Medicago truncatula: one gene and its partner. Each later gene encodes a partner of the first gene's protein in a complex. Links are inferred from orthologs where the notes say so. Each region holds a gene or a part of one and is shown on either strand. Other genes may lie near its edges. The genes, in order: acetylglutamate kinase, chloroplastic; nitrogen regulatory protein P-II homolog.

What was found.
Region 2: the proteins of acetylglutamate kinase, chloroplastic (region 1) and nitrogen regulatory protein P-II homolog are in contact, whole or in part, in a crystal structure (PDB 2RD5), measured with the Arabidopsis thaliana proteins. The link is inferred for Medicago truncatula from reciprocal best matches to the Arabidopsis thaliana genes NAGK and GLB1. Residues at the interface, in NP_191315.1 of Arabidopsis thaliana: Arg195, Glu208, Val209, Ala210, Arg211, Val212, Glu251, Ala254, Ala255, Ile286, Lys287, Lys290, Ile310, Arg311, Ala314, Gln315, Gly316, Gly347; in NP_192099.1 of Arabidopsis thaliana: Arg82, Trp84, Arg85, Gln88, Arg118, His119, Gly120, Gly121, Ser122, Glu123, Glu153, Thr157, Glu159.

Annotation. Positions count from the first base shown.
Region 1 is NC_053044.1:53,573,698-53,579,525, reverse strand, and holds acetylglutamate kinase, chloroplastic, read left to right. Parts: upstream 1-3,922; 5' UTR 3,923-3,994; coding exon 3,995-5,017; 3' UTR 5,018-5,290; downstream 5,291-5,828. Other genes in the region: DDB1- and CUL4-associated factor homolog 1, read left to right, coding at 1-619. UniProt on the Arabidopsis thaliana protein: Involved in the arginine biosynthetic pathway via the intermediate compound ornithine.
Region 2 is NC_053048.1:52,074,271-52,081,249, reverse strand, and holds nitrogen regulatory protein P-II homolog, read left to right. Parts: upstream 1-3,915; 5' UTR 3,916-3,984; coding exon 3,985-4,171; intron 4,172-4,251; coding exon 4,252-4,297; intron 4,298-4,395; coding exon 4,396-4,423; intron 4,424-5,172; coding exon 5,173-5,260; intron 5,261-5,676; coding exon 5,677-5,744; intron 5,745-6,196; coding exon 6,197-6,266; intron 6,267-6,476; coding exon 6,477-6,512; intron 6,513-6,606; coding exon 6,607-6,668; 3' UTR 6,669-6,889; downstream 6,890-6,979. Other genes in the region: uncharacterized protein, read right to left, coding at 1,186-1,347, 1,773-1,847, 1,972-2,097. UniProt on the Arabidopsis thaliana protein: Participates in sensing carbon and organic nitrogen status and regulates some steps of primary carbon and nitrogen metabolism.

The DNA of each region.
Region 1 (5,828 bases):
GGCAATAACATTCAATGCTCGTGGAGATGTTATGTATGCAATCTTAAGGAGAAATCTTGAGGATGTAATGTCAGCAATGCATGCACGCCGTGTTAAGCATCCGCTTTTTTCAGCGTTTCGCACAGTGGATGCAATAAATTATTCTGACATTGCTACCATCCCTGTGGATCGCTGTGTTCTTGATTTTGCAACCGAACCAACAGATTCATTTGTTGGGTTGATTACCATGGATGATCAAGGTGATATGTATTCGTCAGCCAGATCATATGAAATTGGTCGTCGGAGGCCAACTGATGATGATTCTGATCCTGATGATGCTGAAAGCGAGGAAGAAGATGAAGATGACGACGATGACAATGAAGATCCTCTTTTAGGCCCTGGTTTTGGTGTGGGAAGCGACAGTGATGCTGAAGACATGAGCAGCAATGAAGATGATGATGATAGTGTAAGTGATCCTGATGATGATGACGACGATGGAGGTTACATGATGGACGATATAGACTTTGATGGACACGACATGTTGGATATTGTGACGGATGGGGATGAGGACGACGATGATGATAGTCAAGGACTTGAATCCGAGAGTAGTGATGACGATTATGACTTTGGTGGTTATTAGTTGTTAATCTGAGATGCTGTAATTATAATCTCTTCATTGTATTCATTTTTGGGCGAAAGGTCGCTTTGTTTTCTCAAAATTTTGCTGTAGTCTTTCACATTTAACTCTTCCTACTTATCAGTGGTATAAAGTCGAGTAACATAATTGTATATATTTTTAGGAAACTGCATTTTTACTGGGCTGCGAATGCGATATGGGGATGCAACTGTTTTGTTTTTGTTTACAGCTTTTTTAGAGAATTTTTTTTAAAAAAAAAAGCTTCAAAATCAGAAATCGGTCTGAATAGTTTCTTGGAATAAGTCATTCTGTTACGGACTCTTTTTCAATGACAATTTTTAAAAAATGTTTGAAATAAAAATCTAATTTGGACTCTTTTTCAATGACAATTTTTTAAAAATGTTTGAAATAAAAATCTAATTTGAGTGCAATTTCTGATGTGCACAAGTCACTCAAGTGGTGCATGGTGCAAGATAAATTTCTTAATGATTATCGATACACTTGGAGGTTATAGATTTTCACCATAGGAATCAAGACCATGTTGTTTCGATGTTCCTTATACAGCAGCAGCTATTTGAAGTCGGATCTTAAACTGATAAAAATCGTCTAACATCATCAAATTAAAACAAAAAATACAATAGCATACTGATGGATAAAAGATTTGGGGTTTAAAGAAAGTTTTGAAACCCAAGTTGAATCAATTGAAGATTGCAACAGTAACAAGTGCTGCTGGGTATGTTAACATGATGAAAATTGCTGTATACACATTTTATACCGAAATTAAGAACCGGCTGTAGTTAACTACAGAAGTTCCTTCGGCAGTTAACTGCTGAGGAGCTCAAAAATGCCAAATTATTTCCCCCTACTTGTTGAGCTAGCGTATATATGTGTGGTTTGTTTGTCGTGGAATCGAAACTTAAGTGCCTAAAGGTCACAACACTATTATAACTTAACTACCAAATTCCATTTGTTTCCGTTTGTTTTTTTTTCCCTCTTTTGCCTCTCAAGGTCACAAAAAACGGCTAAAAGTAAGAAAAATTATCTTTCTTTGGTGCCACTCTTTTGAGGCATGGTTCACAATCCTTACCTACCCTTGTAAACAAATATTTCAAATTCAAACCCTTTGAATTTAAAGCTAGCTTACCTATAAATTGAGGATAATCAATTATTATATCCTACATCCTCAACTAAAAAAACAATATCTAGAGGACAGGTTTAAGTTTCTAAAGCTAGACACACATTTTCTATATATCTTCTACTATTTTAATTTCTAAATGAGGCACTTAAGTTTCAGTTAAAACGCATACGCTAACTCAACAAGTAGGGAAAAAAATTGGCAGTTTTGAGCTCCTCGGCACTTAAGTGTCAATGGTTTTTTTTTCTTCATCGGCAGTTAACTCCCGAAGTTTCCTTCGGCAGTTAACTGCAGCCGGTTCTTAATTTCGGTAGTTAACTGTCACGGTGGCATTTTCGTCTTTTACTTGTGTTTTTCAGCCTTATAACATGTGTATACAGCAATTTTCTAACATGATTGGGTTTGAATGGTAAAATCAAAACTAGTGGAAGTTTCTAGAAGGGGAAAGGGATAAATGAATATTCATGTTTTGTTGTGTTGTGTTCTTCGAGCCAGTGAGAGTGGGGAAGTCGATTTGGTGTTTAGAGTGTACCATCGCATTTTGATAATGATTAGACTCGCAACCTTGAACCTCTCTGAGGTTGAGTTTGCAAATTGAGAAATGATTGTGATAATTTTTGTGACGACTTTCTCTCTCATATTCAGGCTGTGTTTTTATTTTCTCCCTGTATTACTTTGGTTTTTGTATCAATTCTCATTTTTAATTGTCTGACAAAAATGATTGTTCAAATAACACTCCTCGAGCAAATTGTATGAATTTGATCCTTAAATTGTCATGCTCTCATCAATTTCGTTTTTAAACTATACTATAAAAAGTACATCATTTACGTCGCTGTATGATCATAAAAAACAAAACACAATTTTTTAATTAAGAGAGTAAATAATTGGATGAAAGGATAGTTTAAAATTTGTTTAGTTGATTTTGATAGTTTATGGACCATCTCTATAAAAAAAAAAAATTATGGATCAAATTGTCGAGAGACTTAAAATTTAAGGACTAAATTATCTGTTTAAACCAAATTTTATTGTGTGGAGGTCTACTGACTATATAATTAAACTCACTAATGATTAGTCTCACTCAACCTTGATGACATTTTTTTTTAAGGAACTCAACCTTGATAAGATATACAGTGTTTAAGCTACATGACATGATTATTAAAACTTTATAGTTAACTCCAAAAGTTTGGTTTAGAGTAGTTTGTTATAGTTTTTTCTTAAATAAATTTGTATAATTTAGCATCTTTTTGCTATAAATTTTTAACAAATAATTTTTGAAGGAAAACATCAAATGAAAAATTCGTTTGAATATTTTATCTTGGAATGTTATTATAAATAATATTTCATCATTTTGTTTTAACTTTTTTTGGATAATAACATTTTAAAAATGTCTAAAATAAAAGGCTATTTAAAATAACTTTTCATAAAAATTATTTTTCGAATGATGTTTTTTGATCAAGAATAATATGTGATTTCCAAAAAATTTCTACTATTTTTAAATGAGAAATGTTAACCAATGCCCCCGGGGCACTAGTTAAGGAAGCAAAAGAAGAAATTGTAAATCAAAAGAGACATTTTTTAAGCTTGTAATTCATTAATTACACAACTTTTAATGCAAATATTACTACTATATTTGCTTCATTAATCCGTGCCCCGGGGATACCGATTCCGGTTAACATGACCCTTTTTTAAATAAATTTTCAATTCATTTTTAAAAAAAACAAAGGAAAATTTATGTTTTTTAAATCTAAAACAAATGAGTCATAAGTCCTAAAAACAATATCGATTTTTTACTAAGGGGACTTAAGTCGTAAAAACAAATTAGATTTTTTGATTCTTACTACAATAATATATGTAAGGTCGGAGGTTCGAACTCCATCACCACAAAAAAAAAAAAAACGATAAATAATTTAGTGTTGTGTACTAAAATTTCTAGTCACACTCTTAGAATTCCTGACTACACCCCAAAATTATGATATATATAATGTAGTACTTTTCACGAAAATAAATAAAAATAATAAATCAATTTTTTTTTAACAAAATAAAGAGAATCAATTTAATTTTATTTTTGAGGGAGAGAATCAATTTTTTTTGTTAATCAAGATTTGAGTTTCTTAATAAAATAAAACTGCAGAATGGCACGTGGAAAATTAATTATATCCCCGTAAACCCTAGTTGTATTTGATTTTCAAGTCATTCAGTTCAACTTGGGCTGGCAGTGCAAGCGTGCGTGTAAGTGTAACGCAATGTTGGGAGGAGCTGCAAAAACCTTCACAAACTTCTTGGGAGCTCCATTCCCATTCATCTCATCAACCAAAATCGATATCAAAATCAAACGCACACAAACCAACCTCTCTTTTCCATCCAATGGCTGTCGTTGTATCTCCGCTTCAGCCGCGTCACCCGAGCCAGCATCTCCGGGTCAATTCCGAGTCGACATCCTCTCTGAATCGCTTCCTTTCATACAAAAATTCAGAGGCAAAACTATCGTCGTCAAATACGGCGGCGCCGCCATGAAGTCACCGGAGCTTCAAGCCTCAGTCATTAACGATCTCGTTCTCCTCTGGTGCGTCGGTCTCCGTCCTGTCATGGTTCACGGCGGCGGTCCTGAAATCAACCACTGGCTCGGCCGTCTCAACATTCAGCCCGTTTTCCGTGACGGCCTCCGTGTCACTGACGCTGAAACGATGGAGATCGTTTCCATGGTTCTCGTCGGAAAAGTTAACAAAATTCTCGTTTCTTTAATCAACAAAGCCGACGCCACCGCCGTCGGTCTCTCCGGTGTGGACGGAAAACTCCTCACCGCACGTCCTAGTCCTAATTCCTCAAACCTTGGGTTCGTTGGCGAGGTTGCAAGAGTAGATCCTGCTGTTCTCCGGTCTCTAGTCGACAGCGGACAAATTCCAGTGGTTGCATCCGTTGCGGCTGATGAATCCGGACAACTGTACAACATCAATGCCGATACGGTTGCCGGAGAATTAGCGGCGGCATTAGGAGCGGAGAAATTGATACTGTTGACGGATGTGGCGGGGATATTGGAAGATCGGAATGATCCAGAGAGTTTGGTGAAGAAGATTGATATAAAAGGAGTGACAAAGATGATTGAAGATGGAATTATTGGTGGTGGAATGATTCCTAAGGTGAATTGTTGCATTCGATCGCTAGCACAAGGGGTTAAAACTGCAAGTATTATTGATGGTAGGGTTCCACACTCTTTGTTACTTGAGATTTTAACTGATGAAGGTGCTGGTACCATGATTACTGGCTAATTTACTTGCGAAATCATGTTTTTTAGTTTTAAATTCAAGCTCTGTGTTTTCTTCACAATGTTGATTGCACCTTCAATTTGTAAGACTCGGAAATTAGGTGGTAGAACTGGAAAGCCAATGTAAGTTATGTTGTTAGATAATAATAATTGCCCTGCAATGTTAGGGGAAGCTGTTGTTTACGACCGTCTAATGATGTGGAGGCGTAAACAAACACTGATTAAATCAAACATTTCGGACTCTATAATTTTTAAAACTGTGGTGTTTAATGTTTCATTTTTTAAGTAAGAAATTGATTCACCTTACTATTTCAATGATTAAAAAAATGTTATTTACCCGTTATCAAACACTGCTATAAAAAGGTGCTAACACTTCTCAAGCCTTTAGCCTGCTGCAAACTCCACAGCTGTTTATCTGATTCAGAACTTTCCCGCAGTTAACAACATTCAAAAACAAAAACAAGTAAATAAAGACATTAGAGGGAGAAATTTCGTTCTTCACATCTACTTTTAAAAATTCTTGAACATTGGAGGGAGAAATAAGACTTGGTTGTTCATTCCATTCGTCACATCTTTAACTTCATATACCGTTATCATGAAAGAGAGGGGGAAAAATGAATCTCCATTGCACATTGTCAGTTGTCACGACTTTGGTATGTAGTTTTCTTAGTATGTTGTAGATTGGTTGTTATGGATTTTTCAGTTTTTAGTATGTAGATTGGTCGTTATAGATTCTTCATAAATCAGTATAGTTTTATTCCAATTTTTAATCCCTAAAGTTATAGAATCTGACAATTTTTTTGATAAAATAACAT
Region 2 (6,979 bases), on another chromosome or scaffold:
GCTTTTTTCACTAAAAGTATATCTTCAAGTTGGTCTCAAAAAATTCTGTCTATAATCACCAGTTTAATCTCTCAAAATCAAAATCCTCGCCACATTTATATTCTAAAAATTTAATCACCAAATTAGCTTTTCAGACATCCAAAATATCAACTTTTCATCCATATGAAGAACTAAAGTGATAACAAAAAAGATAAATTTGGTGATAAGTTGCATATTTTTGCAAAAAAAAAGGATAACACAAACATATATAATCAGTACATTATTATCTATTCTAATCGCAAGAAAACCTATTTTAAGTCCCTAACAAATCAATATTTTCAATTTGGTCCCTTGCTAAATTATATTATCTCAATTTTATATATCTACCAACTAATCCTTAGTGAAGATGATGCAATACTTGAACATCGTTCTTAACATCCTACTTTTATGTCCAAAAACTCTAAAAGGAAAGAAGAAGAAAAAACTCTCAACTCTCAAGGTTAACACCACTTTCTTGTGTTATTGTTTTGCAGTGATGGGGTTTTTTCCAATCAAGCAAACCAAGGAGACAATTCACAATGATTGGAAAAAGTAGCTTGAAACAATTTAATAAGGAAAGCTCGCTAGGAAGGCCAATAAAGAGGATCAGAACCTGGTGATTTCCCCTTTTCATTCTCCTGAACATGTTGAACATTGGCATCTGCACAAGGTCTGCAGGACAGGCCACCCTTGTAGAGTGAGTGAATAAGGAATCTTGATTCAAATTGCTAACAATTTCACAAATAAGATGCCCTGGACGAATCCTCTAGTGATAGCAACTACAGTGGCAGGATACCCCAGTACCCAAGTACTCTTCACCCTGTCATTTGAAGTGCGAAACATTCTGTGGTTTTGGGGTCAAAATATTTATTTTTGCAAACAATGAAATTTGTGATGTAGAAAAGGGTATTATAAACAAGACTTACATGTTGATTGAGAATTTGAGATATGTAAAAATAGTATAATATAATCATTGGTTATCCAGAAACTTAAAACTCCAACAGTAGCATGTCAATAACTCAACATTCTATCTCCTTCATTAAGAAAAGATGATCAAGGTTTGTCTGTTAGACAGTTGCATAGAACTAACATCCATGCTCCTTACACACACATCATGAGAAAGTATGAGAAAACAAGAAAATGATAGACAGCTAATCAACAGACTACTTAATCAAGCAAACTACAACTGAACCGACCATTTGAAAGAGACAGCTCCTCCGCTTTTGTGACCACATCTAGAGGGAGAGGGATAAAGCTTCGAGATGGCCCATAAAAATGAGGGAAACTATTTGAACCGTCCACAATTTCATACACCAAACCATCGCCAAGCTGAGGAAATAGCACAGCAAAAGAGAAAATATTACTTTACTATTAGCAAGACAATAGAGTAGCCTAATAATAAAATAACTGTGCTATGCTTATTTATTTAATTTTATTTCATTGAATGAATTATTAATGAAAGTGTTTTAATGGGAAAACCTAAATTTTCAATGGTAATCAGATCAGATTTATATCTTCCTACAAAGTCCTGTATAATCTAGTGTATTCTCATGTGAACAAATCAAATTTTAATACACACTAAGTGTCACTTTATGAATAGAAACAGAGTTTCATTTTCCTTCAGATTTTAGTTGAATGATACATTTCTAATAATCTTCATCACTACCAATAAGCATGTTTTTTTAATTATTTATTCACAAATAAAATCAAGAACACATTAAAAAAAGCATAATGAAGGTGAAGTATGAGCAAACCTTCTTAGCATCAATCTGAAGAAGGTAGAGTTCATCTTTAGAATTCAAGAAAAAATTATCCAACGTTGATCGAACCTGCAATAATAAAATAATTATAGAATTCAGAATCCCAATGAATGAAGTGACTTATATGAACATGAGCAAAACAGTGAAATGAAATCAAAATCAAAATATTAGAAAAACATAGAAATTAATTAACCTGTTCGAGTTTGCTAAGATGGATGAAAGAAGAAGACTTGTCAAGTTCACCACCGAAAGTGGACCCATTTCTTTGCAATTCCTCCCATTCCTTCGCCGTGCTGATTCTGTACACAAAATCACTCATCGTCTACTATAGAATACACAACCGCCAACTCCCCCGTTATTTTCCCGTTACATAACAACATAAATAAATCTATCGAAATTGCAAAATAGTCCTGCGGTAGGGTCGGTCATTTTCCAAACTCACAGCAGCAAAACAACACATGATAAACTTCACGTATTGAATATTTTTTATCTTATATGATCTTTGATGGAAAAAAAATTATTTTGGTATTTTAGACAACGGAAAGATAAAAAATCATGTGGTTTAATGATAACATAATTTTAGTTTTTGTCACATCTCTTAGCAATTAAACAAATTTATAAGGTTTTTTCTAGATTACCTTTGAAGAATGGTGGGTAATTTACCCACCAACCAATGAAAATGAGCAATTTGTTGATGGAGTCAAGATAGTTCATGGATACCACTTAAAAATGTGCTTATGTGGCTAATGTGTATGTTGAGGTAAATTATCCACCATTCTTTCATTGGTACTCTAGTTGTCACCAATTTACAAATCAAACAGAGTACAACTTAAATTCTCCTACTTCAATTTTTTTAAGAATCAAACGCACCTGAATTATTTTAATGTTAGAAATTATTTTGATCAACAAAGTGCACAATCTAACACTATTTAAAAATTTCAATACGTTGAACAAACTCCGACCACCATAAAAAAAAAAAAAAAAAAAAAAACTCAGTTGATAGAAAATATTGTATTATATATAGGGGTCGGGTTCAAGCAAATATACTACACTTTCTCTTTTAAGAGATGAATTTTTATTGGTGTAAACCAATATCTTCTACACGTAATTTCAAAGACTAATCCCTCAAATATTGTGGGATCCATGTGGACGACAAACGAGTTAAAAAAAAAAAAAAAAAGATGAATTTATTATTAAACTGGTTGACCAAAAAAAAAACATGCTAACAAATGTGGCATTTTTAAAAAAATCCGCATAAGCTTGATAAGGTATATATTTATGTGAACTTTTTAATTGTTAGCCTACTTGACTATAAAAAAGTTTAAAAAATTAGATTTTTTAAAATCATAAACTTTTTAAAAATACAAGTAAAATACTCCTAACGTAGTTAATTATGGTTGCTTATACTTCCTCTGATCCTTTATACAAGAAACAAAAGACATAAAACATCAACATCAAGAAAATACATTGAAAATAGTCATCTTCATTTAATACACTTTTACATTTAAAAAAATTCTATGAATACCCTTAAATTAATTACTTTTTATTCCATCAACTTACTTACTTTTAATATTCTCTCTCATAATCAACAAGGGCACAGATGAAATTTAGCTTTAAACATATTTGAAACTTGATCAATCTTGGACAAAAAAATTCACTTTTATTTTGATAAAAAGGACCGGAGGTAGTAATTAGAGAACCGGCCGCTATTAATTGGCACTAAGTTTTTTTAGTAATTTAGGTATGTTTCCAAGGCAGAGAAAAGCAAGTGTCTATCGATTATTACAAAATTACACTTTTAGTCCCTTAACTTAATTTCAGGTAACAGTTTGGTCCTTTATCTTTTTTTCATTTCAATTTAGTCCTTTTTGTCCATTTTCATATACATTTTCAAGCTTCAAATCTAATATTCTTATCCAAACATAAACGAGGATCATAGATTTGAAGACTGAAAGACCATAAGAAAATAAAATCATGAATTTTAAGCTTAAAAATTCATATGAAAATGGACAAAAAGGGCCAAATTGAAATGAAAAAAAGATAAAGGACCAAACTGTTACCTGAAATTAAGTTAAAGGACTAAAGTGTAACTTTGCCATTTTTTTTTAGCAACTATCGATTATTACTTAACAAAACTTCAATTAAGTCAATACTGTGTCTAGCGAGCTAGGGAGAGTTCGGTAAGCGAAGTGAGAAGTAAGAAGAAATGGCTTTGATTGCGAAACCGAACGTGTTCAACGGTTTGAATTTTCATATCAATGAAACTCAATTTCCTTTTTCAAGCTTCAGCGTCATTCGCAAGCGTTTCGGAGATTCTTCTCATCGCAATGTGGTCCTAAAAAGCAACGGAAATGCATCGATTCTTCCCAAAATCAGAGCTCAAAACCTTCCTGGTTCGATTTCCTTTCCTTTAGCTATGTTCATCCATATTCATACTCAAATCTTGTTGCTAAATCTTTGATCTCTTTTTTAGACTATGTTCCTGAATCCAAGTTTTACAAAGTTGAAGCCATTCTCAGGTTATAACACTCTTCTTTTACGTTTTTTTGTGAAATCAGTTGAATTCAGTTATTTCTTGATGCTTATGTTGTTCAATTTCTTGTTTCAACATGAACAGGCCATGGAGAATCCCTCAGGTTTCTTCGGTAATAATACATTTTCCTTTTTCCTTTTTTTTTTTTTTGCATGTCTAAATTAAAATGTGATTCTTGTTATTTTCACTAAATTGGATACATTGTCTTTGATACCTGTGATTTCTTGACATTGTTTACAAGTGGTGGTTAACTCATTGCAAATTCAGTTAACTATTATGGTATTTTCTTGACTAAATTATGTTAGTGTTTTTGGACTGAATTCTGCTAGTTAGTTAGTTAGTTAGTAAGCCTTAGATTAACACAGTGTTAGTTAATTAGTTTCAAAGTCAGTTAATAAGTTAATTATTGGCAAAGTCAGTTAACTGTTATGTTAATTAGTTGGCATTTCATTAGCGCACATGACACATGCTGTGTATATTAACTACTATGTTTCTTGGTGAATTCATTCAATTGATTCCATTCAGCGCCTCTCTTTGTTTTTTCCAACTTCCAAAAGGTTTCATTTTCAATAGATTTTTAGCAGTTGGTGCATAAGATTGTGTTATTGCTTCAAATACTTTTGCGGTCAAATAAGCAAAAGTATTGCGTTAGTTTTATCATTAATATACACCTATAGAATGGGTTCATTACCCTCTTGGGACGAGATCCATGACTTTTGAGTTTGTACTTAGTACTTGTACCCCAGGACCTTTACCTCTCGAATTATTGGTTTGGTCAATGCGGCTCATATATGTATTTTTCATCCAGGAAGCCCTTGGCCTTGTGCTAATATACTGAATTTTTTATTGTAAAATTTGAAGGGTTTGTTGAAAATGGGAATTCGTGGTGTCACTGTATCTGATGTCAAGGGGTTTGGTGCTCAGGGTGGCTCAAAAGAGAGGCAGGGAGGTATGTACGTTGCTGATCTTAACCGACCTAAATTTAGTGCTCTATTCACCCTTGTTAACTTCAAAGACAAATTCATGTTAAGAGTTTGGAGGAATTTTTGTTACCGTCATACATTTTTGAAGTCCATATTTCATCACTAGACTATTTGTTATGGTAAATTTTGTTGAATTCGTGCCTTAAAAAAAACACTTGCTCTTTCTTTTTTTACTAAATGTTAGCGCACAAATTTAGGCCTGTGGCCACCCAACTTCAGCCGTGTTTTATGTCTGTAACTTTTGTTCTGTTATATATAGTTCAAGAATTACATTTTTCCTTCCTTTGGGATTGGTTTGTATACTTAGTTTTGTGCATATATTACATATAGATCGCATGCTCACTTACATCCTTGTCCTTTATTGATGGTTTATTCTTCACAGGCTCCGAATTTTCTGAAGACAATTTTGTTGCCAAAGTTAAAATGGAAATAGTGGTGAGAAAAGACCAGGTGTGTTGACATTTGGTAGTAATCATTGGCATCCTGATTCGTGTGCTACAATCTTAAATACCTAATATTCTATACAATTAACATACAATGTCAGTTGTCTATGGATTTGGGTCTTCTCAGTTTTTTTGGCTAGATATATTGGTGAGAGTATAGCACAAACTTTTTCTTGGATATGATAAGACCATTGCCATTGGTTCCTGCGTATTCAGCATCTTCCGAACTCATACATGACTAGTCACTATTTCAAAGTGTTTGCATTTCAAGAGATTAAACAAAACCGTTTTCTTTTGTTTGACAACAAGGGACATAGTCAGGAGTAGTTAGAATAAACATTTTCAGCTCAGTGGTGTTTGAATTATTTAGTAGTTCGAGTAAAACTTCATGCTACTTTTAATTACAAACAAAATATTGCTTTTTGCAGCATATCTAATACGTATCATGCATTTTTTCAGGTTGAGGCAGTGATAAACAAAATTATGGAGACGGCAAGAACTGGGGAGATTGGTGATGGCAAAATTTTCTGTAAGGCCAACATCTTTTGCTGGAAATCAATTATACGTGATGTTCTGTTTTGAGCTGATACAAACCTGATATGTTTTATCAGAATCTTTCATAATAAATTAGTTTAAGGAGGGTATAAGAGTTACAGTACAATATCTAGATTCAAAATGTAAAACTACTAAACTCAATTTGGAACTGTATCATATTTCTAATAGAACTTTGATTGTGCAGTGATCCCTGTATCTGATGTAATAAGAATCCGCACAGGTAACTATTTGCTCGAGTGAATTGTCTAAAAACATAAAATGTTTACATTTTTGTGTAGAGCATGTGTACTCAAGTTTTAAATATGAATTCTCAGGTGAGCGTGGGGAGCAGGCTGAGAGGATGGCTGGGGGACTAACTGACGCGTTGTCTGTTTGAACAAAAGATTAGCATTTGCAATTTGGTCCTCTGTTCTCTTTTCCCCTGTAGAATTGATAACAATGATGTATGTTGTGTGTATTTTGCACTTTGCTGTTAGTTACTTAGATGTGTGCAATATTCTAAGAACAATGTAGTTGACACATGCAGAGTTGTTGATAGTTAATAAGAATTTGTGAATATTTGATTCTCAAACCAATTTAGTCAGCATTTTTCGTTCAGTCAAAAATTTAGTTCATGTTTTCGTAATTCTATGTATGAATGTTTTTTTTTATTTTTTAAATAAAAGTATTAGGAATGGGTTTGGTTTG